Linked DNA regions of Callithrix jacchus. The protein of the gene in region 6 interacts with the protein of the main gene of each other region in a pairwise test. Links are inferred from orthologs where the notes say so. Each region holds a gene or a part of one and is shown on either strand. Other genes may lie near its edges.

The links.
Region 1: the proteins of ATXN1 (region 6) and LRSAM1 interact in binary tests that used the Homo sapiens proteins (3 or more experiments, as listed by UniProt). The link is inferred for Callithrix jacchus from reciprocal best matches to the Homo sapiens genes ATXN1 and LRSAM1.
Region 2: the proteins of ATXN1 (region 6) and PRRC2B interact in binary tests that used the Homo sapiens proteins (3 or more experiments, as listed by UniProt). The link is inferred for Callithrix jacchus from reciprocal best matches to the Homo sapiens genes ATXN1 and PRRC2B.
Region 3: the proteins of ATXN1 (region 6) and RBPMS interact in binary tests that used the Homo sapiens proteins (3 or more experiments, as listed by UniProt). The link is inferred for Callithrix jacchus from reciprocal best matches to the Homo sapiens genes ATXN1 and RBPMS.
Region 4: the proteins of ATXN1 (region 6) and TRIM32 interact in binary tests that used the Homo sapiens proteins (3 or more experiments, as listed by UniProt). The link is inferred for Callithrix jacchus from reciprocal best matches to the Homo sapiens genes ATXN1 and TRIM32.
Region 5: the proteins of ATXN1 (region 6) and TENT5A interact in binary tests that used the Homo sapiens proteins (3 or more experiments, as listed by UniProt). The link is inferred for Callithrix jacchus from reciprocal best matches to the Homo sapiens genes ATXN1 and TENT5A.
Region 7: the proteins of ATXN1 (region 6) and NUDT21 interact in binary tests that used the Homo sapiens proteins (3 or more experiments, as listed by UniProt). The link is inferred for Callithrix jacchus from reciprocal best matches to the Homo sapiens genes ATXN1 and NUDT21.

What each region holds. Positions count from the first base shown.
Region 1 is NC_133502.1:176,115,759-176,119,258, reverse strand, and holds part of LRSAM1 (E3 ubiquitin-protein ligase LRSAM1), read right to left. Parts: intron 1,819-3,500; coding exon 1,720-1,818; intron 1,183-1,719; coding exon 1,051-1,182; intron 1-1,050.
Region 2 is NC_133502.1:180,091,545-180,095,044, reverse strand, and holds part of PRRC2B (protein PRRC2B), read right to left. Parts: intron 3,349-3,500; coding exon 3,266-3,348; intron 2,694-3,265; coding exon 2,502-2,693; intron 2,357-2,501; coding exon 2,159-2,356; intron 1,395-2,158; coding exon 1,308-1,394; intron 72-1,307; coding exon 1-71.
Region 3 is NC_133514.1:31,699,394-31,702,047, forward strand, and holds the end of RBPMS (RNA-binding protein with multiple splicing), read left to right. Parts: intron 1-1,926; coding exon 1,927-2,058; 3' UTR 2,059-2,154; downstream 2,155-2,654.
Region 4 is NC_133502.1:165,023,450-165,027,478, forward strand, and holds the start of TRIM32 (E3 ubiquitin-protein ligase TRIM32), read left to right. Parts: upstream 1-1,229; 5' UTR 1,230-1,581; intron 1,582-4,029. UniProt on the Homo sapiens protein: E3 ubiquitin ligase that plays a role in various biological processes including neural stem cell differentiation, innate immunity, inflammatory resonse and autophagy.
Region 5 is NC_133505.1:87,246,672-87,250,774, forward strand, and holds the start of TENT5A (terminal nucleotidyltransferase 5A), read right to left. Parts: upstream 2,801-4,103; 5' UTR 2,513-2,800; coding exon 2,493-2,512; intron 2,317-2,492; coding exon 1,728-2,316; intron 614-1,727; coding exon 1-613.
Region 6 is NC_133505.1:13,913,871-13,917,837, reverse strand, and holds the start of ATXN1 (ataxin-1), read right to left. Parts: upstream 2,801-3,967; 5' UTR 2,620-2,800; intron 2,192-2,619; coding exon of another isoform or gene 1,378-2,191; intron 1-1,377. Other genes in the region: uncharacterized protein LOC128931873, read right to left, coding at 1,378-2,191. UniProt on the Homo sapiens protein: Chromatin-binding factor that repress Notch signaling in the absence of Notch intracellular domain by acting as a CBF1 corepressor. Binds to the HEY promoter and might assist, along with NCOR2, RBPJ-mediated repression. Binds RNA in vitro.
Region 7 is NC_133521.1:14,315,321-14,319,349, forward strand, and holds the start of NUDT21 (cleavage and polyadenylation specificity factor subunit 5), read right to left. Parts: upstream 2,801-4,029; 5' UTR 2,669-2,800; coding exon 2,553-2,668; exon of another isoform or gene 2,519-2,552; intron 675-2,518; coding exon 606-674; intron 1-605. Other genes in the region: prolyl 3-hydroxylase OGFOD1, read left to right, coding at 3,074-3,227. UniProt on the Homo sapiens protein: Component of the cleavage factor Im (CFIm) complex that functions as an activator of the pre-mRNA 3'-end cleavage and polyadenylation processing required for the maturation of pre-mRNA into functional mRNAs.

The DNA.
Region 1 (3,500 bases), on a different chromosome or scaffold from region 6:
CTTCGCTGGAAATGTGGGAGCCGTCCAGGGCCTGGCGGGGCCCAGGGTCAGGATGGGGCAGTGCGGCACCATCACTGTGGGGGCAACCTCCTCAGGCCTCAGCCCCACAATCAGTGTGGTGGGGGTGGGAAGAAAACCGAGGCCCAGAGGGAAGCCAGCACTAGCAACGGCCATGGTTTAGCGACTGCTTCCCAGTACCGGGTTTCACCTGCACATCTCACGCCACCTCCCCACCAGGTGGAGCAAGAGAGAAGCCTTTGAGGCCAAGCCGCTAAGCAGCAGCACCTGAGCCCACAGCCCCTCAGCCTTCAGAGCTTAAGCAGCATGGCCTGTGACCCTCAGTGCTATCCAGTCCTTTTGGACCTCAGTGTCTGCATCTGTCCAGGGAGGGGCAGGACAGTCTCATGGCAAAGAACAGGAACTCTGGGGCTGGACTGCTAGGGGTAGAGGCCTCACTCTGCTTCGTGACCTTAGGCCAAGTTATTGCCTTACTGGGTCTCATCTGAACGATAGATCATAAGTCTCTGTACCTCCCTGGGCCATCGAGAGGATTCAGTGAGTTCAAATACGAAAAGTGCTTAAAATGGTGCCCAGCACGTGCAGGTGGTAAGAAGGTATTAGCTGGCACAGCAATGATTATTCCGTTTTGGAGAGTAAGTGGATTCATGTGCTGTAGAGAGCCCAGCTTGTGCCCAGAATATGGGCTCAGGCAGTGCTGCGGTCACAACAGTCTGTCACACCAAGGGACAGGGCGGAGGCTGGATCGGACAATCCCCAGGGGCCTGTCTTGTGGATCCAGTCTGAGCAGCTCGGCAGGACCCACCTCCCCAGGATTTCCCAGTGAGATGGTGTCCAGGGCAGACACAGGCGGCTGGGGCAGATGGGCAGGCATTCTGACCATCTGGAAACAAGGTGGGCCTAGGCCATTAGGTAAGGACAGACCTCACTGAGAATTCCACGGGGAGCAGGTCAACCCCCACTGGTCAGGCCAGTGGCCTTGCGCACACCTCCCCAGCCTCCCCACCCTCTGCATGGACAGCTGCTGCCCACCTTGGCCAGGTCCCCGGGGTTCATCTGGCTCAGCAGGGCCAGCGAGAGGCGGTGGTGGGCAAAGATGGGCAGGTAGTGCTCAGCCGACAGCTCCTCCAGGAGGGCCACCAGCTGGCTCTCCATGCCCTCTTCCTGCAAGACAGACCAGGGAAAAGTGTACCATGAGTGGGAAGGAAGAAAAGAACCCATTGCTTACAACAGGAAATGAAGGGTTTGAATATACACAACACAATACCTAGAACATACTCAGGATTAGTCCTACAAAAACACAAGTGCAGGCACAGAGATAGACGGGCCCGGGGTTCACCGCCACTCTGTCTGCAAACCCCGAAATAGTAAGCGACTTGAACATCCACTAAGAGAAGGCTGTTTCATTCACCACCCTGTCCCTGCACGTGCTGGGCAGACAGTGGCCCCCGGGCACAGGCTTCACTCTACTGTGGGCTCAGTGGTCTCTGCCCCACACAGCAGTGACCAGCGCCTTGTTGTCCCCCTCGCCAGAATGAATACTCCCTCGTTCTCACTTCTGTTGCCACCTGTGCTTGGCACAGGATCTGGCATGCCAGAGTCACCAGAAAGGTAACAAGAGGCAGAGCATAGTGGAAGCCAGAGGTGCTCTGGGAGGAGACCCCGGGCTCCCTGGCCAGGGCAGGCAGCAGCAGTCCTTACTTGCAGCTTCAAGGACAAGGGCTTCTGGTTCAAAAGCCGTTGGTACTGAATCAGCCAGTAATTTTCCTGCCTGGTTTCACTTTTGGCTTCTAACTCCGTCTGCCAGGAATGAAGCAGGCAATGTTAGTTACAAAATGGTAATAAAACCTGTGCTAACAATGATGGTTATGAACTATGCTCCTCTGAGCAGGTGGATGCACTTGGCATTTTATTTTTGATATGCAGTCTTGCTCTGTCGCCCAGGCTGGAGTGCCCAAGTAGCTGGGATTACAAGTGCCTGCCACCGCGCCCAGCTCATTTTTGTATTTTTAGTAGAGACAGGGTTTCACTATGTTGACCAGGCTGGTCTCAAACTCCTGACCTCAAGTGATCCACACACCTCAGCCTCGCGAAGTGCTGGGATTATAGGCATGAGCTACTGTGACCAGCTGGCACTTAGTATTTTACAGAGAACTTTCCCACCCACTTACTGTCCCACCGTTTAAACTATAGAAATGAGAAAGGCAGGAAGCATCACTCTCTGACCGGCTCGACGCTGTACACCTGGTCAGGAGGAGCACCTGAACCTAAGCTTCTGCCACCTGGCACCATACTCCACCACTCTCTGGGAGGGACACCCTCTGTCTGCTTGTGGGACAGCAAGCATTATGCAGCCCAGGTTGCCTCCTGGGTACCAGGCAGGGGGCACTGTCAGACAGTGAAGCCCAGTCTAGAAGCTGACGGTGTCCTTCGCTTCTAGACTGGGCTTCACTGTCTGACAGAGCTGAAGAATGGTCAGTGTGCTACTGAACATGATTCTCTTATTCTACCAATCAGTAACTCTTCATTGAGTATTGTTCTAGGTGCTGGGAATAAAGCAGTGAGCAAATGATGCTGATAACGACCATGGTGACAACAGGCACAGCTGACCTGCTCACAGCACCAGGCCACGCTGTGCACCTACAGATGCCACTCATTCATTCTCACAACTCCGTGAAGTTGATTCCACCTCCCAGGTGAGGGAACTGAGATTCGGGGTAATGAGTACCCTGCCTAGGGTGGGGCCAGGAATCAGGCCCCAGGCTTGTCTTGCTTAGAACAAAGTTGCTTAGAACAGCAGTGAGGGCTGGCATGACATGGGGAGGCGTTTCCCCATCCCTGCTGGGCCTGACTGCCCTTTGGGGGCTCCCCGCTGTGGCCTTGGCCACACCCACTGCTCAGTTCTATCGCTGGCCCTCCCGGGCTGCAGGCCCTCTCTTCTGGCACCCAGGAGCGGACTGGCTGTGTCTTGCTGGGGTGGTGCTTCCTCCCTTGGTGGTGACCCCCAAGGCCTACGAGGGCAGGAGCACCAGCCACAGCACCTGGTTGCCACAGCACAGCACCAGGGCACCATCTGCCCAGTAACCTGATGCATAGGAGATGGCAGCAGGGCACTGTGAGGAATAGACAGCTTTCTCTGATGGGCACAGGCACCACTTGGCTTGTTCAGGACTCCAGAAGAAGCTGGTCTTTCTCTTCTAAACCTATACAGGGGCCAGGTGCGGTGGCTCAAGCCTATAATCCCAGTACTTTGGGAGGCCAGGGTGGGTGAATCACCTGAGGTCAGGAGTTCAAGACCAGCCTGACCAACATGGTGAAATCCTGTCTCTACTAAAAAAAATGCAAAAATTAGCTGGGCATGGTATTGCATGCCTGTGATCCTGTCTACTCGGGAGGCTGAGGGAGGAGAATTGCCTGAACCCAGGGGGCGGAGGTTGCAGTGAGCCAAGATCACGCCATTGCACTCCAGGCTGGACAACAAA
Region 2 (3,500 bases), on a different chromosome or scaffold from region 6:
GGGGAGAGACCGATGGCCCTCTGGATGTGATGATCCCGCCGCAGGATAGGGATACTCTGTGTTAACCCTGCCTGGAGAGAAGGATAAGAAAACCATGGAACGCAAACAGAAGCAGAGACAGCTCTGCCCAAACCCATCCACGGCTAGCCTGAGCACATCCAAGGCTCATCCAAATGCATCTATGACTTGTCCAAATGCATCCATGGCTTTGCCCAAAACCACCTACAGTCCCCAATAGCATCTATGATTTGTCCATGTGCATTCTTCAGTTTTGGCCATGTATACCCAAGACCACTAAGTAATGAAACTGATGGCAGCCAAGACCATGATTGATCTTGAGATGGTTGCCTTCATCTGTTTCCTCAACACAAGTCTGCAGAGAGCCACCCCCATATATCACACTCCATGGTGCCCTTCAGACAGGCAGAGCCATGTCCCAGCAGTATAGACACGAACTGGCTGCTAGCACGCAAGCACCTGGTTCAGAAGACACCTGCCACCTGGCCTGGAGATGTCTTGGGCCACACAGGGAAGGCTGTGCCCCTCAGCAAACTGTGAAAAAGAGGGCCCTAGTAACAGTGGCTGGACATGCAACAGCGCCCCACCATCTCCTGCAGATCCCCGGCATCCATCTGCACATCAGAGACTGCAGACTCTCAGAGTAAAGAACCTTGCAGAGCCTAGCACTTCCAGGACATTTTTTTTCATTTGACACCTATGAATATTGTATAGCACTCACATTCCTTGGAATCCTCTGGGAAATGCTGCCCAAATGATACTCATTCATTCAGCACATGCACTAGCACCCACCCCAGCAGGTGGTGAGTACAGAGCAGTGAACTAGATGCCGCAGCTCCCAGTGGCCATGATAAGATGCCACTGCCAGTTCCTGGGCCCATGGTGGGGCACCACGAGATTTTCTGGATTATAGCAGTTAGATCACAGGCGGCCAAGACCCTTGGATGGTGAGATGGGGCCTCCCAAGGAGGCTTCTCCTACTCAATCTGTGCCCCTTACCCCTGGCCACTGAAAAGGCAACTTGAGTCTGGGCTTGAACCTGGCACAGAGGAGACATGGAACCAAAGAGAGCCAAATAAAGCAGACCTTAGGAACTGTACAATCCCCACTGGAAGGTCGCAAAACCCGGGCAGGAACATTTAAGCACCTTTTAAGGACATGGAGCTGCTAGCGACTGAGTCACATGCCAGCCCAGGTCAGCCTGACTCCAATACATACGCTGTCTCCTTCACCCAGGACCTGCCAACCCCAGGCGGTAAGCAGAGCCAGAGGTAAAAGTGTGAACTTACATTACTGGCCAAGGCATCCTGAAGTTTGACAACTGGACTCCCGGCAGGACCAGAGGCAGAACCAGGTGCCAAGCTGAAATCAGAGTCCTGAAAAAAAGGCCACATAGCCCACTGAGGTGGGAATCTACATTCCCCAGAGCCGCATGTTAAAGTGATGCAGTTGCTGCGACTCAAAACCTCCCCTGAGCAGCATTCACTGGAGCCACGTATGAGCAAGATGGCCAGATGTTTCCCCACAGCACAGGAGACAGGACGCCAGCCTCACTCTCTCCCAGTCCCTTAGGTGGTCTGATGGAGACAGGGAAGATCACTGGCCTGTCTGTCCCAAGAGCCTGGCCACTGTCAGTGAGGCGATCTTTTTTGAGGTGGAGTTTCACTCTGTCGCCCAGGCTGGAGTGCAGTGGCATGGTGTAGGCTCACTGCAACCTCCACCTCCTGAGGTAGGAGGTTCAAGCGATTCTCCTGCCTCAGCCTCCCAAGTAGCTGGGATTACAGGCGCATGCCACCAAGCACGGCTAATTTTTGTATTTTTAGTAGAGATACAGTTTTACCATGTTGGTCAGGCTGGTCTCAAAGTCCTGACCAGGTGATCTGCCCACCTTGCCCACTCAAAATGCTAGGATTACAGGTGTGAGCCGCTGTGCCCGGCCCAGTGAGGCAATCTTTAAAGCAACTCAACAGAGCACCAGCCACGTGCAGGACTCCAAGCCAACACCCTAGTCACTGCATAGTGCTTGGCTCCCATCCTTCTATTCTTTCTAGGAGACAATCCTGTCTGAGACCCCAACTTCTCCAAGTACTAAAAATAAAAAGTAAAAAAAAGCAAGCAAGAAAACAAATCAAACCCTCACTTTTGGATTGACTCCAAATTCTATGGGTGGCACAGGCAGCACAGAGTCCACGTGAATCTCTACCCCATTCACAGGCGGAACAACAGCCCCTTGCAGCCGTTCGGCTCCCTCCGAGCCCTTTCTGTTTTTCAGAGAACGCTCGTTGCCGATGGGTCCTGGTCTGTGCTCCTTGCTCTGTCCAGAGCCTTGTTCTGAATCCTTGATAAAAAAGCAGAGAGGTGGAAATATAGACTGGAATGACCACACTCTCCAGCTTCGACTGTCCCAAGAACTGGGGAAGACAACAAGACAGTGGCCCCTTCTACCCAGGCCCTGGCCACTGTGGCTTGAACACCCAGGTTACCTTCTGCTCAGATGGCTTTGGAGCCTGCTCCTTGTGGCTGTCAGCCTTGGGTTCTGCCAGGCCAGGCCCGCTCATCTCCTCTGGCTTCAGAGTCCCATAGGGGGAGCTGCGCTGCGAGGAGGTCGCGGACGACTCCCGAGACTCCGCGCTCAAGTCAACGCCACTATCTCCCTGGCTGCTCTTAAAACCCTGCTGTGCAGAGCACAAAATGGGTTAGAGCCTCAAACTCCAACTTGATTTTCCAGACAGTAAAACTACAATGTGGCACTGAGACTCATCTACCCCAGCTGCCTGCCCCTTGCCAAGTGTGGTCCTGCTATGCCGAGGATGCCTCACAATTTACATGCGGCCAAATACACCAACCCCACAGGATCTTCCGCACGACCACAGGATCTTCCGCAGGCCCCAGACAGAGGCTGCCAAACCCATCTCACTCATGACCCAAACCAGACTACGTAACTGCTGACACCACTTCAGGGAAAGCCCTCAATCCCTCCTCCCACCCAGCATTGGGTCCTTCCTTGTTACCCCTTTTCTCTTTCTCCTACTCATGCAGGCCCCACGCACAGGCCAGACTCCCAGCAGGAGTCAAGAGGGAAAACCACTGATGAGCTTGGGCTCATGAAAACAATCAAATTCCCAGCTTGGCTGCTGTGGCAGGGGCTTGGATGGGCTGGGATGCAGGGATCCACAGCAAGTTGGCCGTGTGGATGGTGAGCACATACTCATCCCAGGAGCAACATGTGGGCAGTGGCCACACTCACCTCTGCAGAGCCAGGCTCAGTGCTGCTGAAGGCAGTGACAGCTTTCCTCCAGGAGTCACTGGCTGGGGCCTGCATGGGGAGAGCTGCCAGGGGAGGGAGACAGAGTCAGGGCATGAAACAGAAGCCTGTCTAGAAAAACACGAGTTTATGAGCTCTTAAAGAACAAGCACAGGCACAGCCTGCAGAAATCCAACTCCCCTGCCTCCCCTACACGCCCCCCGTCCCCACCCGCAGC
Region 3 (2,654 bases), on a different chromosome or scaffold from region 6:
TGAGTGCAGGTAGTAGTAACGAGCGTAAAGATTCACCGTTGGAGATAACCACTCGTTCTTTGGTCTGCAAAGATTGATGACCAGTAACAAATAAATAGAAAGTACGTATGTAGGTTTCATTTGTTTTTCTGCATGTGTAATTCGGCCCTTAAATTTTAAATTTTTAAAAATGACTAGGCTGGACAGGTGGATTTTTTGTTTGTTTTGCTCAGTGTTTGTTTACAAGGCTGGATGAAATAAACAGCTTCCCAGAAAACTTCCTTCTGACTTAAAACTCTTTTATGTTGTACAGAACTCACTGTCTTGATAAAGACCACCTAGAAGCAGCCCCCAGCAAGGGTTCTTGAAAGCCGTGGGGTCAAGATTGTTGTTGGCTGAACATCTTTTGATTGTTTTCGCTGAGTTACCAACGTGTTGGGTGTGCATTGATGACCCGGCTTCCTGGGGCTGCCCTTGGCGCCTGGGCCCCAGTAATGATTGCCCTTTGTGTCGGGAGAAGGGAGAAAGTACAAGTAGTGAAGAAAAAAGTGTAGGTGGTGGTGGTAAGAGTACATGGTACCAAAAATAAAGGAGCAGGATTACCTGTGCCTTTGGCCTCTCCTTCCCCTGCTGCTTTTTCTTCCTTTTTCCGTGTCAGTGCTTGGGAACCCTTATAACTAGCAGGTGATAGGGAGAGGGGATAACTTGTATACCTGTAGGGGTCTTCTGCTGAGTCATTGGGATCTTTGTTAGCGGGCTGTGGATAAATACATGGATGACATGGGGCAACGAGAGCCCCTTTTGCTTGCCACCTCCCACCCCTGCCCTGGACGGTGTCTCTCCTCTTGCTAGACTGCTAGGTACAGATCATGTGGCAATCAATGCAACTGTTAATAAATATCATGAAACAATACATGTTTGCATAGTCTTCTGAATAGCCATGGCTTTGGTTGGTACCAACAAAGCCTTTCACCATTACCCTGGATAATCAGGAGTTGACAACAGCCAGAAAGTACTGGGAATGGTGGCTTTTGGCCATGACATCTACCCATTCTTCATTCATGTAATGGGTAAAATCAGAAGTAATTCTGGAGATAAGATATGCTAAGAGAAGGGCCTAAAGAATCTCAAGAGATTAGAAAGCATATGCAATTGTGAGGAAGGATGGGGAGAGACAGTGCCGAGATTAGATGGACTCAGTCATTTGACTTAATGGGATGCCTTGCCCATGGTGGCACCCTCCCCTGGGACTTCTTCCTTGGTCTTGAGATTTTTCCAAACTGGAATCCACTTAGCTCTGCCACACTGGTCCCAGATTTGTTGGGACTCTCATCTGATACCAGTGTTCAACGCCACTTCTTGTTTGGAGTCATTCCCAGGGCAGTCATGGACTCTATGAACAAATATGGTCATTTAAATTTATTTGTCCAATATGAGAATCAGAATGAACTAGTAGAGGCTTTATAGATCAGCTGGTCTGACCCATTCTGCAGATGAGGAATCAGGCCTAAGAAGATGGAGGGAGTTACCCACAATCTGAAGTGGCTCTACCATGACTAGACCCAGGTCACCCGACTCCCAGGCCTGGCTCTTTCCACTCCGAGGTGCTGGCTCACCACAGACTTATTCTTTAATGGAATTTTGGGAAGGCTTCACTCCAGTGACTCCTTGGATCTTTCTTCTCTAAGTAGATGCGAAGCCTGTAAGAAGAGACTTGGAGGCAAAGACAAGGGAATCAGCACTTAACCTTCACCCAAAGGGCCCAAGAGAATCTTTATTAACTGGAGGTAGAGCAGACTGGAGCTTTTACAGGGCATCTCCCCATATTGGATAATTCAGTTTTTGTTTTGGAAATCTTATAATGTCTTTGGAGAGTCTTTAAATAATTTTGTTTTTCTTAGCAATGTTATGCTCTATTTTGAGACATGGATTTTTTTTTTCTTCTAGTGTTTCTCTCCTGAGGGAAAGCCCAACACACCTGTCTTTTGTCCACTTCTCCAGCAAATTAGATTTGTCTCTGGCAATGTGTTTGTAACATACCAACCTACTGCAGACCAGCAGAGGGAGCTCCCATGTTGAATTTGTTTGTTAGCTATTTTTCCCCCCTTTTGCAAAAACTATTTCTTGACGACCTTTGAGAGATTTCAATAAAAATTTTAATCAGAGCAAAAATGATCTCAAGTAGACTGCAGCGTTTTGTTTTCATGATGATGCAATTTTGGAGCAAAGGTGTTACTCTTTGACTGAGGTTGTGGGAGAATTGGGCCTGTGACACCAAGTCTATTTTACGTGGAAGGACTCAGAACGAGCTTCCTTGGGAGACCAGATCCTGGAGTTGAGGCCATACCGCTGCTGCTTTTCTCTGCCTGGGCTGCTGGAAGAGCCACCAAGAGCTGCATGTTGGAAGCATCTCATCCACCAGGAGACCTCACTTCAGCAGAGATGGCGGGTCTAGCTAGGGGACCCTATGTGAAATGAGTGGATGTGTTGCCCAGTCTGCCCACTGTGATCCACAGGAAGGAAGACCAGGAGACAAAGTGTCATTGAAAGAAGTTGAGTCACTTTTCTAGCCCTGCCCCAGCTTCAGTTGTGGTCTGGTACCCCTTCAGATTTCCCAGCTATAAAGTAAAGATACTTATTTGCCATCAGATCCCATTTTTTAGAAATTATTGTAT
Region 4 (4,029 bases), on a different chromosome or scaffold from region 6:
TTACAATTTTTCAAATACAGTTACCAACTGCAAACTACCATAATCTTGGTTTATCTTCATAGCAAACTTCATTTAGAAATTTAGAAAATGGGGAGAGAGAGTAAACAAGGTTAAGAGAGTGGGTTCCCAGATAGAATCGGGTACAAATCAGGGCTCCAACAGGCACAGGTTTGCTGTGTAACCGCCTAGGTTACACAACAGGTGTAGGTTAACCACCAGCTGCCTTATCTTATGAAGTCCTTAGGAGGATTTAGTGAGCCACGCACCTGAAGTCCTTAGCTATAGCCAGACAGCAAGTATCCAAAGGTGTTAGTTATTGTTTTTGTTCATGGTTTTATCATTGTGCAAGGGTCGCATAGCTAAGTGGAATTTCAAATCCAAGGCCATCCTACTTCAAACTCCTTTGTGCTCCTAAGCTATGCAGTATAGTCACCTTGGAGAGCATGCGATTGTCCCCAAACTACCTCAGGGACTGCAGGTTATGGCCAGCCAGTCCTCTATCAGACCTCGTCCTTGCCAGATGCCTAGTGCCCCAGATTCCCTCAAATCTCAGGCCAGACAACTTCCCACCCGGTAAGACTCCCCCACCTTCACCCCTGACTCTCCAAAACTAGACTTGGTGTGGGTTCCCGGGAAGCTCTGTCTGCAGGGACAGTATTCCCCACGTCTGCGTCTGCTGTCGACTTCCCAGCTGAGTAGGCAAAACATTCATTCCTTTACAGAGCAATGTGTTCATGGATAAACTTGTCTCTAGCGCAGCTCTGTGTCAGAGCACAGAACATGGAGCCCAAGCACTGCCCTTCCCAGGGAGTCCCGGTTCTCGACTTCCCCAGGATGGAAGTTTGATTCTACCGTTGGCCCATTTCTTTGATAGAAAAACTGAGACTCAGCGAGGTGCCAAGGCTTTGATTAGGACTACCCTGGAAGCCACGGCTTTGTAAGGGGTAGACATTGGGACTGGAGTCAGAAACGCGTTCTGGCTTATCTCCTGACTTACTGAATGAACTTGAGCAGGTCCCTTTCGCCCGTGGGCCTCGGTTTCTTCATCTGCACAACGAGACGGAAAACTGGATTACGTGTAGCTAAGGCCCCCGGGTTCTCAGAGGAATGCTCACCCCTGCAGGGCCGACCGGCCCCGCGGCACTACAAGACCCAGCTTGCCTCGGGGGGCGGGGCTCAATGACTGACAGGGAGCTCTGCGAGTTGCCGCCCGGCAAGGGGCGCTCAGCGGCGCGTGCGCAGAAGGCGGCAGGCGGGTGGGCTGGCGGCGGTGGACTCGTTGGAGCCGCGGGCGGTCAGGTAGGGGGCGGGAAGGAGGGTTGGGGACCAGGGACCGCGGCCGGAGTCGTGGGCGGTGGCACAGTAGCGGGGCGGAGGGCCGTGCCGGCGAGCAGCGGCCGCGCCCGAATGGCAGAGTCTGTGGACCGGATCTGAGGGGCAGGACTGGGGTGGGGGTGGGGCTGCTAGGGGCAGGCTCGGGAGAGATTCATGGGGCTGAGGAGATCCGAGGAGATGCAGCTGGGGGAGGGGAGCGAGGTGCTCTGAAGAGATTTGCGTTTGAAGCATTTCGGGAGGTATGAGGTAATGTGGGGGCCGAGAGGAGAAATGGGGTGCAGCATGTGGGAGATGGGAGGGAATCAGGGCCCTGGAGGGACCTGGGTGCAGAATTTCAGAAATATGAAGGAACTGGGGACCCCCGATGAGATTTAAGGGAATCTGGGGGCGCTAGGCATCTGGCAAGGACAGGGTCTGAGATGATAGGAGCAAGGTCTAGGTCGATCCTCAGTGCTAGTGAGAGAGGGTTTTCGGAGTGGGATGAGCGTGAGATTGAGGGGATGGGGATGAGTTCTTGAGGGACTCTGTCTTGTTAGCAGAAAGAAGGGACCTGGCTGAACTGTGAAGCCAGCATGTGACATTCAGTGCGTAAGAGGAAGGAACAGGGTTTGAGAGCGGCACAGTGCCTGATGGAATGCAGGAGATGGGGGGCTCAGAATGAGGGAGAGCAGAAATCAAGTGTGGAATTGGGCCGTTGAACTGAGGTGCAGGGCTGAGTGCAGCAGAGATTTGGAAACAGGGATTAAAGGATCTATGTCCGAGGGATTTGGGGCATAGGAGTGAGGAATTGATGAGGGTTGCAGTATACAGCGCCAGAGATTGGAATTTGGTATTGTAAGAGGGTTGGGGACAGGGTTTGGAGAGGATTGAATCATAGGGTAGAGATGTCCTAACTGGGCTATAGAATCAAAAAACCCTGAGTCGGTTTGTGGACTGGTGTCTTGGACTGCTGAAGAGATTTTCCTTAAATCGCTGCATGGGAGACAGATGGAGTTCAGGGGACCCAAGGACCTAAAAGTAATGTATGATATAGATGAGTATATGAAGATGAGCAGAGTTCAGGTGTTGAGGAACGAAGTGATACATCTTCAGTTCAGAGATCCTGAAGGAGTGTGGTGATCCTTGTGAAGGGCAGAATCTTCTTCATTTATTAAACAAATATCCATTATCATGAGGCAGGTATGGTATTGCCACTAACTCCCCTCTGACACCCCCAGGCCACTGAAAATGGTGGGCTTTGGGGAAGAAGAAATGGAACTATTCAAGGTCATCTACCTAAGCCCCTTTTCCTTGTACCCACAAGCTGCGATAGCAGATAGAATGTGAGACCTCCAGGGGAATAAGTGGAATAATTAATCCTATCTAAGATCCATTACAGCTTGAAGGGGCGGTGCCTCTGTGAATGAGGTGTTTGGGCTCTGAGAGAGACAAAAATAAAAGGGAACCCTTATGTATTGAGCATTTAGTCCTGTGCCAGACTATAAAGAAGTGGTTCTTAACCAGGGGTGGTTTTGTCACCTTGGAGACATTAGGCAATGTCTGGAGATGTTTTTTGGTTGTCACAGTTAGGGTGGGGAATACTACTGGCTTCAAGTGGGTAGATGAAACATGTTAATGTTTTATGTTAATGTTAAACATTTGATAATGCATGGGATAAGCCCCTGCTCCCCAGTAAGGAATTATCCTGCCTAAAATGTCAGTACTGCCAAAGTTGAGGCACTCTGCCCTAGAGTCAGATATCCTGGGTTCAAGCCCTAGCTCTGTCTCTTCCTGACTTTGTGGCCTTGAATGAGTTACTTAACCACCCAGTGCCTTGACTCTTCACCTGTAAAATGGGGTTATGATAACGACCTATGTCACAGAATTGTGAGGATTTAGTGAAATAAATTAGCATGCCTAGGATCTGGCACATAGTATGTTCTCAAAATCTAGTAACTTTTAGTCTTATATCTACTTCTTTATTCAGTTTTCGTATCTTTCTAAGTAGGCTCTGCTGTTTTCAGTTTTACACGAGGGAACTAAGGCTTAGGAAGTGACTTGCCTAAGTTTCCATAGCTAGGAATGACACATAAGCTCATACCCAAATCTCTGTAGCTCTGTATATTCCCTTTTTCCTTGCTACTTCCTTTCTAAGGCCTGCTTAGTCTTATTTTCTCAGCCCATTCCCCTCTAATGAAAAAGAGGATTGCCCAGTGACTATCAAAGACGGGGTGGCGGGGTGGGGGGGTGGGGGGGCGGAGAAGGTAAATCTCTCTGATTAGGTAGGGAGGAGCCCTGGACTTTGTTCTTGGTTTGCTCTTAGACCAAGACCAGGGGCTAGATAAGGAGACGAGTTTGAGGTTACCAGGCAGAATGAGGTGCAACAGACTATGGGGTGAGGTATGGAGGCCGTTGGCTTGAGAAAACACCTCATAGCAGGGACTGAGGCTTAAGGCATTCATATTCTGAAGGAGAGTAATCACTGTTCTGTGTGATCTCTTTTGGGCTGCTTTTCCCTGGAACAAAATAATAGCATTGGCTCTATCATCTCCAGGACTAGCTACAGCGTTGCTGAAGCCAGTTCAGAAACAAAGCTAGACTGCATCTGACTGCTAAGGTTTAGCTGGAACATCCGCGCACATCCCTAAAAGAAAATATGTCATGGGAATTCAGTCAGCCCTGTCTAAACTCCTTACTCTGTTGCTAATTTCTTAT
Region 5 (4,103 bases), about 73 Mb from region 6:
ATACCCGGATAGCCAGCATGGTGATAAGATTTAAAGTCTGTCTTCTTTCATGTCCCATCAGGCACACTGTGCTCTCATTCACCACTCCATGAAGAGTCATGAGATACTCATACTTGCGGTCTTCCAGTCCCACAAAGTGGTTCTGCAAATAGGACTCCAGTTTTCTCTGCTGCTCTCCAATGTCTGAGAAGTCGATGAAAAACCTGGAACACATATACCTCTGAAGGGTCTTGATCTCATCAGAGGCGGGCCTAAAGCCCCTCACCAAGAGGTTGCAGTACTTAAGCAGGCCTCCCCCTCGGATTTCCTCTGGGTTCCTGGTGGCAATGATCTTGTTACAAAGGTGATCAAAGGCTTCCTGGAAATCTCCATAGACGCTCTCCCCGATTATTGTGGGGTGAAATGTCTCAGTCATTGGGTTCTCTGAACATTCGTAAAAGAGCAGAAGAGAGTCTAATTTGATTTGAAAAGAATCTACACTGAATTCAAACTGCCTCCGGAGGGAATCCACAAATTTCAGTTCCACATTTTTGCCACTGTTGTTTGACAGGGATATAAGACTCCATCGGTCAGAGTCATTGCACACTTTAACCATTTTCTGCACATAAGCTTCCTACAATTTAAAAGATAAAACAAAATGAGCAAACCTAGAAAACAATAATAAATTAATAAATAAATAAATCCATCCTCCTCACAGCTGAGAATGATTTTGCTCTTTCCCTTTTGTTTTGTCAAGTTTCAGCCAAACACTATCTACAGGCGTAAACGATCTTCTGAAAATAGAAAAAAAAAAAATACTTTTAACGAGTAGTTTTACTGTCTGGGAAAGGCACTAGAGGTAATAGTTTGAGGCTTTTGGCAGACGTAGCACAGTAGTAAGAGGTTCTGTTGTCATGTCTGACTTTTAAGTGTTACTTTTTGAAAATGGTCTAATAGGCACAATATTCACACAGTATCCAAACAACATTCAAAACTCAGGAAGGCATTCAGCTGTAGGTTAGTCAGCCTCTCACCCTTGTTCCAAGCCACCCAATCCCTCTACGCCCGCGGCAATCAATGTTATCAGTATCTTGTGTGCTCCTCCAGGGGTACTCTGCAGTTACAATCAAATATAAACTAAATTACGACGTTCTGGGAGCCTGCCTCCTCAAACAATTTTGACTTATCATATAAAACCCGTCTTGAACTAAAGTGGAGGGTGGGTAGGGGCTACCACTATACCCTTAACATATGAACCAGCACGGAGAACCACAAGATAGACCTTTAACACAGAGTCAGCTGAGTACTGCTATGAAATCTATTCACCTTTTCCAGTACAATAAAAAAAACTCATTGACTCACTTCTGCTTCAGGCTGCTCTTTTCCCAAGGACTGGATCATAACTCAAAACATTATTTACATCATTTCATTCTGCCGAGTATCAAAATCTACTCTGGACAAGACCCCAACAGGGAAAGTCAAGAGTTAAAACATAAGGAAAAGGAAGAAAGGTAGGGCAGAGGAGGACGTTGGAGAAGAGTTGTAGCGCCGAAGCATCAAGTAAACTGAAACACTCAACACCGTCCACACACGTAAGTTTACTCATTTAAAAAAAATCAAAGAAATACGCGCGCCCAAACCCGTGATGGCCACAGATTCATGGCATTTAACCGATGTCCCTCTGCCCGCTCCCCGTCGCACCCGGTCCAGCCGGGTCAGGACCCAAGTGCATCTCGGGTAGTTTTTACCTTGAGCGTGAGTGGTGTGATCTTCTCTTTGTTCACCCCTTCGGGTAAGAAGTCCAACAGGCAGTCCAGCACGACGTCCTTCACAGTCTGAAACTCCCCTTCCCCGCGCAGGTCTGCGCAGAAGATGAGGTCCAGGTCCTTGTAGCCCAGGCCGCTGTCCTGGTGCAGGACGTGGCTGGCGGCCGAGCCGTTGAGGCGCACGTCGCGGACGCCGATGCGCTTCTCCGCCAGACGCCGCCGCACCACCTTCACAATCAGGCTCGGCTGCAGCTCGAGCGTGGGGAAGTTGCCGCGCCCGTGGATCGGAATGGTCTCGCTCAGGATGCCGTCCAGCCGCTGCACTTGCTCCCAGTTCAGGACGTTGCAGTGCGCCGTGGGGCTTTCGCAATAGTCCAAGCAGTGCTCATCGAAGCTGCTGCCGCCGCCGAAGCCACTACCGCCGAATTCTGCGCTGCCGAAGTCGCCGCCGCCGAAGTCGCCGCCTAGGGGAATGTAGGGGCCGCAGGCCAGCTCGTCCTCGGCCATGGCAAAGTACCCTTCGCCCTCCGCCATGTAGTGCCCACCGAGCGCCACTTGGCCCTGGTCAGTCCTAAAAGGAAGGGGAAAGGAGCGGTAAGGACACCGCGGCGGAGGGCAGCGGCCCGCCAGGAAAAGAGCGCCCCCTCCACCGATCTCTCCCTGACCCGGGGGCTCCTGGGAGACTCTCCCTCCCCGGGCCTTTATAATCCCCAGCCGCGCCCCGCGCCCCGCAGAGCAGCCCCGCACCAAAAGTATCTCTGATGCATCTGGAAAGCACAAGCGAGAGTCCCGTCTGTGTCACCTGGAGGCGGCCGCCCCTTCTAGGAGCGCAGCGAGCAAGAGAGAAACCGCGAGGCGGAAACAATTCCAGGAGCTGCGATTGCGCTCCGGCAGCGACTAGCGACTTAAGTCTTTCCCAGACCCCTGCCGCCTGCGCTCACCACTCCCTCCCCGCGCCCCCTCCCGCGCCGCTGCCGCCCCAGCTGCTGTGGTCCCGAAGGTGGCGGCTCTTGCTGCCGCACACGATTGTGTCTCTGGAGCTTTAGCAGTTGTGCGGGGGAAAACGTCTTCAGTACTTTTTTTATACCGGGCTTTTCTGCGCTTCCGGGGCCCCGGAGCGGCACGCTCGCCACACCCTCCTCATCTGCATAGGGCACCGCCTCCTGCCCCCCGCCCTCCCCGCCCGCCAGGCGCGCAGCGGACTTGCCCAGCCGGCCTGGTTGCGGGTCGACCTCCAGAGAGTGCGAGGCCCCGGGCTGTATGTGTATACGTGTGTGCGCCTATAGCTATGCGTGTATTTATACATACATTTGATTTAAGTACGCCCCCTCCCACATATCTTTTCTCCCATGAGGAAACACATTAAATGCCTCAGGAGTCATAATTGGTCATCAAAACCAGATCACGACTAAAATTCTGCAACTGCAGAAACTTTCTAAAATTTTCGCGGATACTGCCCGTCATTATATCTTCACGGCTGAGATTCGGAGGTTTCTCACGGAGGTTCCTCACGAACTCTCTTAAATGTCGATTTCTAGCTGAGACCATTTACTCCATTGACAAACTCGATCCAAGCGTGGACTCCTGAGTCCACTCGTGCACGCAAATCAGTCACGGCTGCGCGAGTGGGAAGGGCTTGTTGATAACCGGATTTCGATTCTCGAAACCTCGGCAGGCGCGCCAGGGAGCTCCTGGCTAGCAAGAGAAGGCGCGGGGGCGACACCCCAGGCCGCGGGCGTGCGCGGCTCCTGCACAGGAGTGGCTCCCGAGGAACCGGGTGCGCGGCGGGGGCCGGGGGGCGTCACGGAGCGGAGAGCAGCCAATCGCAGAGGACGGGGCGGGCCGAGTGCGGTGCCGAGAGCGCGCACGGGGAGTGCGCAGGGCCCCGGAGTCGGGGGAAAGGGCTACTTGCTGTTGAGCGCTTTGCTGCGCGTTCTTTTTTAGAAAACCCGAAGCGGCGAAGTGTCTTCCTCGCGGCCCGCTAAGGTTTGGCAGTTTTAAGTGCATCATTGTGTCCGTGGAATACTATTTGGTTTCCCATGAGAGGTAAAAGGAGTTTCAGGAATAAAACGAATTCTCCCCTACAGCTTCAGTTACTTCGACAGAGTTAAGGGTTCTCCCCACGCTCACTCGCGCCACCACCACTGTCTTTGCTAGAAAGCTGTGGCCATCTCTTCTGGCCGCTCACAGCCTCCGTCACCTAACCCTGAGCAGCTTTCCCAGCGCCTAGACGCTGCCGGGGGTTAAAGTAGGGCAAAGGGGGGAAATGCCAGGGTCACAGAATACTCCCTAAACCCTGCTCAGCCCTGCCCTCCCAGCCTGGGAAGAAAAACAGCCCGCACCTCCGAACTGGGGGAG
Region 6 (3,967 bases):
CTGATCTAATTACATGAGTGATCAGGGCTGGAGTAAGTGCACTGAAAACCTACACCACTGACAGCCAGCCAGGAGGTTCAAGGGAGCCCTTCAACCTCTGCTTTATGTAGAAGATGGCATTCAAGTCCATTTATTTGCAGAGCTGCTAAAATATTGACTGATGCATGCACAGCGAGAGGGCAATCAGAGGAGATTAAGTGCCACAGCATTAGCCGTTATGGTGCAATCCCTTTCCAAGAGTTCCTGTGCAGGATTTTCTCTTCTCTCTGGTGGTTTCCTCAGGCATAAGCTTCATTCCAAAAAAAAAAAAAAAGCCTAAGTATCAAACTACCTTTACCCACCAAATAAACCGAAGGGTGGGCTTAACGGGGGCTTCTAGGAACTGCAGCCTCCTAAAAAACCCAAACGGAAATGTCTTAGCTAACACTGTTGAAAAAGTAGCTATGCCTAAAAATAACCACCAAGTAACTACCCACTGCTGTGTGCAATATATAACGACAATGTTTAAATATTAAAAACAGCCTGCATTATAAAACGCAAATGTCATTGAGATGTGCACTACTAGATTGCCAAAGGAGAACTTATTTGCATACACACATTCCTGTGCATGCACGAATGTGCAGGCAGAAAGCCACTGTAAGGCACCAGTTTTTATTCTGTGGGTGTAATAGGGTCTTCTAATTTTGCTAATTGTATCCTGTGGATCTCACAGGGAAGCTCAGAATCTCTTCGGGGACAGAACCAGTTTGGAGGAGTCCCTACTGCACAGCATACGGTAAACAAAATAAAAATAGCTTGCCTTTCTTGTTAGCCACATCGCGCATTATATAACCAGCTTCTTCCGACTGGCTTTTTTTTTTTTTTTTTTTTTTTTTTTTTTTTGCCCTTACTACTCTTCAGCAATTTCCCAATCTTCTCAAGTATTTACATTACCTTTTTATCTGTAGGATAATACCAAGAAAGCAAAACAAAACAGACCAGCCACCGGCTCGAACCGAACCCCTGCCGTCCTTAGAAACTGATCTTTTTGTTTTGTTTTGTTTTCTGGCAGAGTCTGGATCACCACCCTACTTCCACCCCCCGCTAAGGTTCTTGCTCAATCTCCCTAGAAAACCTGAATTGTTTCACCGCTTCCAGTCAGCCCCCTACGTGGTTTGAAATAAAATGAAAGCACAGCCTCGGAGTTCAAGAAGGCAGCCTGAAGGCGGGGGGCTGAGAAGGGGTCGGGCGATGCAGAGTCAGCCAAGTGGCCGAGGAGGGGCCCCCTCCGCATCACGACAGCCCTCGCCCCCCGCCCGGCGCGCACGCACACACACATATACACATTCACACTCACTCACACACTCACTCACACGCCGCGCTCCGACACCGCCTCACCTCTCGCTCCGCCCGTCCGGCCCCCTTCCCTGCCCCCTGCGGGACCGGCCTGAGCGCAGCGCTGGAACCACGTAGGAGGCGGCGGCGGCGGCGGCCCCGGCCCCGGGAGTGGCAGAGTCTTCGGCCCGGCCCAGAGTGAACGAGCAGCGGGGCTCCAGGGCGCATCCCAATCCCCGCAGCGCCTCCTCCTCCTCCTCCGCCGCCGCCTCCTCCTCCTTCCCCTCCTCCTGGCTTCATTCACCCTCCCAGCAGCCGCGCAGCCGTTCACTCCCGGCTCCGGGCAGCGCCTGCCGCGGCTCCTCGGTTCCTGCCGCGGGCGCTGGCAGGGGCGCCGGCCCGGACTGGGGCGCTCGCGGGCTCGCGGCTCCGGGCGGCGGCGGCCGCTGCACAGGATCAGGAAGCGGCCGCACCAACAGGGCGGCGGTGGCGGCGGCAGCCAGGGCCGCCACCGCCACTCCAGCCGCGCTCCAGGCACCCGCACACCCGCTACCCCCGCGGGGTCCCCGAGGCCACCCCTCCGCGCCCCCCGCCTGGCACCCGGCCGAGCGCAAAGTCCCGGCCCCTTGGCTGGAGCAGTCCCTTCCCAGCCCACAGCCGTACAGCCGGCGAGGCCGGCCACGGAGGGAAGACCCTCGCCCAGGGGCGCCGAGGCCGGGCGTCCACCCGCGGGGAAGTGCAGCCCTCCCCGAGACCCCCCCTCTCTCACCGCCCTCTCCGGAGAGGAGGAATGGGAAGAGGGCGGCCGGGAAAGGGACCAGCCCCCCACCCCGGCCGCCGCCGCCTCCCCCTGCGCCACCCGGAGGGAGGAGGACATGGCTCTCGGCACTCGCGACCGGACCAGCAGTCTCCAGAGCGGGGCGCCGCCGCCGCTCTCCCTGCCCGCGCCCCCCGCCCGGGCGCGCCCCCTAGCCCGGCGGGCGCCCACCCGGCCCCTGACAGCCCCCCCGAACGGCCGCCCCTGCGCCCAGAGTGGGGGTGTCGGCCTGGGAGCCTGGAACCGGGGACGGTTGTATGTACACACACACGCACGCACACACACACACAACACGACGCGTCGATTCCCTTCGCTCCTCTTCCAGCTGTTTTCCGTGCAGCCGATTGGGGTTTTAGGGTTTGTTTGCTGGTTGTTGCTTTTGCCCCTCTCGGGAGATAGGGAGAGGAGGGATTTTAATCTAAATAAGGGGAGAAGGGGATGGGGGAGGGGGGAAAAGAATCAGAGGAGGAAAAAAAATAGCCACTTACTGTAAAGTGTAAATGGATCTGGGGTTGCGTGGGGAAGGGGGGCAGAGGGAGAGAAACAATGTCTGGCGGCTGCTCTTGCTCTGGCTGCTGCTCCCCGGGGCTTGTTTTGGATCCCCCTGCAGTGAAACAGGTCCTGTACGGCTCCGCCACTGTAGTAGAAATGATGTCTGCGGTATACTCTGCTCTCTCCTCCTCCTCCTCCTCCTCCTCCTCCTCCTCCCCCTCCTCCCGCTTCCCTCCCCTCCCTCCTCCCTCCGCCCTCCCTCCCTCGCGCTCTCTCGCGCTCGCTCGCTCGCTCGCTCGCTCCAGTATGTAAATGTGTAATAGAAGCCAAATATGGAGCAGTTGGCTGCCGCCGCCGCAGCTCAAGGATCCGACTTCATGGGGGTGGGGGGCACCCTCTGGCGGGCGGCCCGGCGAGCAGCACCGAGCCCTGAGCGCACCGCGCGGCGGCTGGCCCGCGCCCTTAACCCTTCGCGGCGCGCGGCCCGGGGAGGCGGGCACCTTTCCCCAAGAGTGGCTCGGGACGGGCCGCGGGGGAGGGGAGGAGCGGGGTGGAGGGCAAGGTTCCTTCCAGGTTTGGGAAGGGGGCGGGGAGCTGCGCGATGAGGTAATTGGAGCGGTGACCGGTCGGTCCTCGAGCGCCTCCCTGGGTCCCTGCACCTAGTTGGAGGGGACCGAGCGACCGCGGGGCGCTGCTCAGGCAACCTGGGGGACTCCCCCAAGGGGTGTCAGGCTTCAGCTGGCAGCCAATGAAACACCCCAGGGGGGAGGGGAGGTCGGCGGGTTCTAATCCCAACGTGCCCTGGGTCCCCGGCGCCCCGAGCCGCGTCTAAAAGGGCTCCCTCCGATCATCAGCTGCACGTTATTTAACCCGCAAACCGGCGTCGCTGCGGCGTTCGGGAACCCAGGCCCGGGGGCCTCGGGGATTGCCTCTGCGTGCAACTCCGCAAAGTTTCCCGGGCCCCCCGACTGCACAGGCGCCCTCACCTTCGCTGCCTGAGAACGCCCGGCCGTGCCCTCGCTCTCTCCGCAGGTCCGGAAATCGGCTTCGATCTGGAGCTACTTACTCCGCTCTAGCCTGGAAAGGAGACCCGCGCACTCCTCTCGCAGCTAATTTGGGATCATTAATTTAATCGGAAATGAGGTAACCAGTGTAAGAGACAGAGAAAGCCACCGGAGCATCAAATGGCAGCTCTCGGGAATCGATGAAGAACTTGAGTCTGGACTCTGTGTTTTAGTGCGGTCCGCGACTCCCACCACCCCGCCCGCCCCTCCGCCTGTCCCGCCGCCAGGTGTGACCTCCACGCGAAGGAATCTTCGTCGGCTGGGCTAACATTGCCAACAG
Region 7 (4,029 bases), on a different chromosome or scaffold from region 6:
CTACTTATATGTTGTAACCCCTTGATTAAAACCTTACAGCAAGAAGCCTTTAGGTAAGAATTTAGGCCACATTTGCTCGTCCATGGTTACCTATTCTACCGAAAGCCCTTGACATGAATAGTCAACATTAATGTATCTACTCCACTCAGCCATTCTTGAAAGGGGAACAAATCAAGGTTGCCAAAACTTTAAAAATTACTTTAATTCCAGAAGGCAAGTTCTAGGCATATGAAAAAGCTCTAAAATAATTTAAAAATACCATTTCCAGGATGCTTTAAAGATTTAAAGAACGTCCCCAGTAGACCCAATGCTAAATCTAACACCATCAACCGTAGCAGCAGCAGATATGCTACACAACACGATGTGCCAGGCATTTGTTTAAAAACGCCTTACATATATTAACATTTAATTCTCACAACCTGAGTTAGAAAGAATAAGAATAGCCATTACACATCTCTGTTGCAAGAGCCAGTTCCACTATATCAGCAAGGAGATGTCAAAATGAAATGTCAGAATCTTCATCTGTGAAATCAGAGTGCCACCCCAGACAAACATACTGTTCTCATCATACTGTAAGCTTCATAAAGCAGGGGCTACCACCTTACTTCCTCACCGCTGTACATCCAATATTGTGCACAGTGCCTGGTACAAAGAAGACATTCATGCAATATTTCCTAAAGGAAAATATAATGGGAGAGAGGGCGTTTGTTTTCAACTTAATGTTAACTCAGGTGAACTGAAGTTCACAACACAATGATTATTTTGTATTTAGGAGAGGAAATGTACTATAAATCAACTCATAATTTTAATAGAGCAAAGATTAAAATATCTTCCTGAAAGCTATTTTGCCAAGTTAATTCTCCAAAATGGTTTGATGCAAATTAATTAAAAAGATAAAACTTAAAAAGATAAAAAAAAGACTGTGGGTTTTAGTGCTAATCACCACTAAAAGTAACCCAGAAGCTGTGCTTTCACACTAAGAAGGATAATATTTGCCCTTACCGTTTGATTTTTTTAATTAAAAAAAATTTTTTTTGTAGACATGGCCTATGTTGCCCAGAATGGTCTACAACTCCTGGACTCAAGTGATCCTCCCACCTCAGCCTCCCAAGGTGCTGGGATTAGAGTCGTGAGCCGCCACTACGGCCGAGGACTTTTAAACGCACAACTATCAACTAAGTACAGTTTTTATAAACTCAGCATTTCTATTATTTAAATTTCCAAACCAGCACGTTTTGCAAAATAAAACCATGTTAACCATCTTTCCAACTTCAAATCACTTTTGGTTGGCGGGTGGGGAAAGAACGTCCACTGATTTTAACGTAAAGCAGAAAAACACCTAAAGTGTCTTACGAAAACCTCAATACCAGCAAATCCTTGCACTAGTACCCTTACTAGCATAAACTGGCCACTTTCCTCCATCAGGAAAATGGAGGCACAAATCTTCAGAAACGATTTTAAAAAAGCATTACTGGCCGGGCGCGGTGGCTCACGCCTGTCATCCCAGCACTTTGGGAGGCCGAGGCAGGTGGATCACGAGGTCAAGAGATCGAGACCATCCTGGTCAACACGGTGAAACCCCGTCTGTACTAAAAATACAAAAAATTAGCTGGGCATGGTGCCGCGTGCCTGTAATCCCAGCTACTCGGGAGGCTGAGGCAGGAGAATTGCCTGAACCCAGGAGGCGGAGGTTGCGGTGAGCCGAGATCGCGCCATTGCACTCCGGCCTGGGTAACAAGAGCGAAACTCCATCTCAAAAAAACAAAAAAAACCATTACTGACAATTTCTTGATTAAGACCTACCCCAAACGCCGATTACCTGCTACAACGAGGCTGCTTCTGAGGGTGACCTTGAAATGCAACGGTTTGAAGTGTTGAAACACAAAGGTATTGAAAATAAAATGCAGCCCACAATGGGATTTTCTGGTACAAATATTCTGGTTCCCCCCGGTCTGAAAGCCTTACTCCCAAAGTGGAGCCTGCTGGGGTGCCTGGGAAATCGGCGCTGAGACAGGAAGGCGTAAGGGCAGGGCAGGGAGCCCCGGGCACATGAAAAAAATGTGGTGTATTCATAAACTGAAATATTGGGTAGCGCTTGAAAGGAAAAACACTAGACTTAGGCATTCCAGCTGGATCTCAAAGCTTAGTGTCGGAGTGAAAACTGCAAAAACGATACTTAGTTATACCACTCGTATCACATCGACGCTCACAAAGCAACAGCATATACGTGATGCGAGGGCATAAACCTTTCACTGGAAGGATTAAAAAAACGCAAACATTTTGAAATTGGTTACCTCAGGAGAGGTGGGGAAAGGATGAGTTCAAAGCAAACTCCGTTCTTCCCCATTATGACTGAATACAGAGGATGGGAACAAGCCTTCCTTTCAGAAAAGGACTCAGGGTGGAGGATGAGAAAGGGGCCTGAGGGAACGAGGATGCCGCACATCCGCCAGCGGGAGTTGGAGGCGGGAGATGCGGAGGCGTGAAGCGCGCCGAAGAGTCTCTGGGAGCGCTCAGGAGAGGAATGCCCGCCAAGGCCGCGCCGCACTTACAGGTTGATGGTGCGCTCCAGGGTGAGGGGCTTGGTCTGCTGGATGTACTTGTTGCCGAACTGAGTGACCCCCCGGGGCCAGCCGGTCTGCGAACGATTAGGTGGTACCACAGACATGCTGGAGAGTTCCGGCGCTAACGGCGAGCAGAAAGTGGGAGGCAGGGAAGAGTTTCCCCGAGCGCAAAGCGGTTATCTCCGATCCCCTCAGAGGCCACCGCCCGCCATTAACAGGAGCGCGCAATGGGAGGTGTAGGCACGCCGGAAGTGAACCCGGAGCCTCTGGCGGCAGGAAGTAGAAAGGTGATGGCCTGCCAGACAGAGCGCCATTGGGCCAATCGCTAGTGGGATGGCTGCAATAGCTGGAGCTCCCATTGGCAAACCGGTATAGGTTCCGCCTTCTCTTACTTTGGTGCTTCCAATTGGATAGCGCAGGGGAACCCGGTAATTGGGGCATGCCGGGAATTGTAGTCCCTTTAGGAAAGTAGCGTCTTGTACAGGCTTGGCTCTGTACCTTGGGAGGAGATGAATGGGAAGCGGCCAGCGGAGCCCGGCCCAGCCCGGGTGGGAAAAAAGGGAAAGAAGGAGGTGATGGCGGAGTTTTCGGACGCTGTCACGGAGGAAACCTTGAAAAAGCAGGTGGCTGAGGCCTGGAGCCACAGGACGCCTTTCAGTCACGGTAACCGGGTGCTCTCAGGGAGGGGCCGCCACTCAGGGGTCTGGGGATCTCTGAAAAAGCCCTGGAACTCGAACCCTGGCAGTGGGGCAGCAAGGGAAGAGGCTCTTGGAGGACTTTTGGCCACCTCCGACCCTCCTGCCTCGGCTGCTGCTCTCTTTCAGTCCAAATTCGGTTTGAATTTAGAAACCTGAGAAGAGGGAGAAATGGAGGCCGGAGAGTTTCGGGAAGCAGAGGGTATGCAAGTGATAGTTGCATTCTGGATTCTCAGATTACCGAGCTAGAATCCTCTCCCCTGATTGGGCGTCGCCGGGCAATGGAGTTAACTTTATTAAACTTCAGCTGCTTCCTAAGTAAAATGGGATAGTTAATAGTCTGTACCTCAGAAAGACGGTGAATGGAAGTAATAAGCTAATGCTTGCAGGCTTCAGTAAATGTTTCCCTGAGTAAGGCCCAATACACGTCTGGACAAATACGGGAGTGGTTGATGTCGTTTGTCGTGCAAGAGCATTGCTCGGCTGTCCCAGGAGAGTCTGCCAGACCATTTGCCATGAGCTGCCAGCTCGGCTCCCGAGTTTTCTCGTCTTTTCGCGCCTATAGTTTGACTGTATGATGTATGAAAGTAAACACGTGTTGACTAAGGAAAGGAGGCTGCGTTGAACGATTCCAGCCTCAGCTTCAAACATCACCTTATGTGATAGGAGCTCTGCTTTGTGTGCCAGGCATCCCCTTCTAGAGTTCCCTGTGATTTTTCTTTCTGTTGTCAAGTGCTTTGAAGAGGAGGGTCCAGGGTGGTCTGGATGCC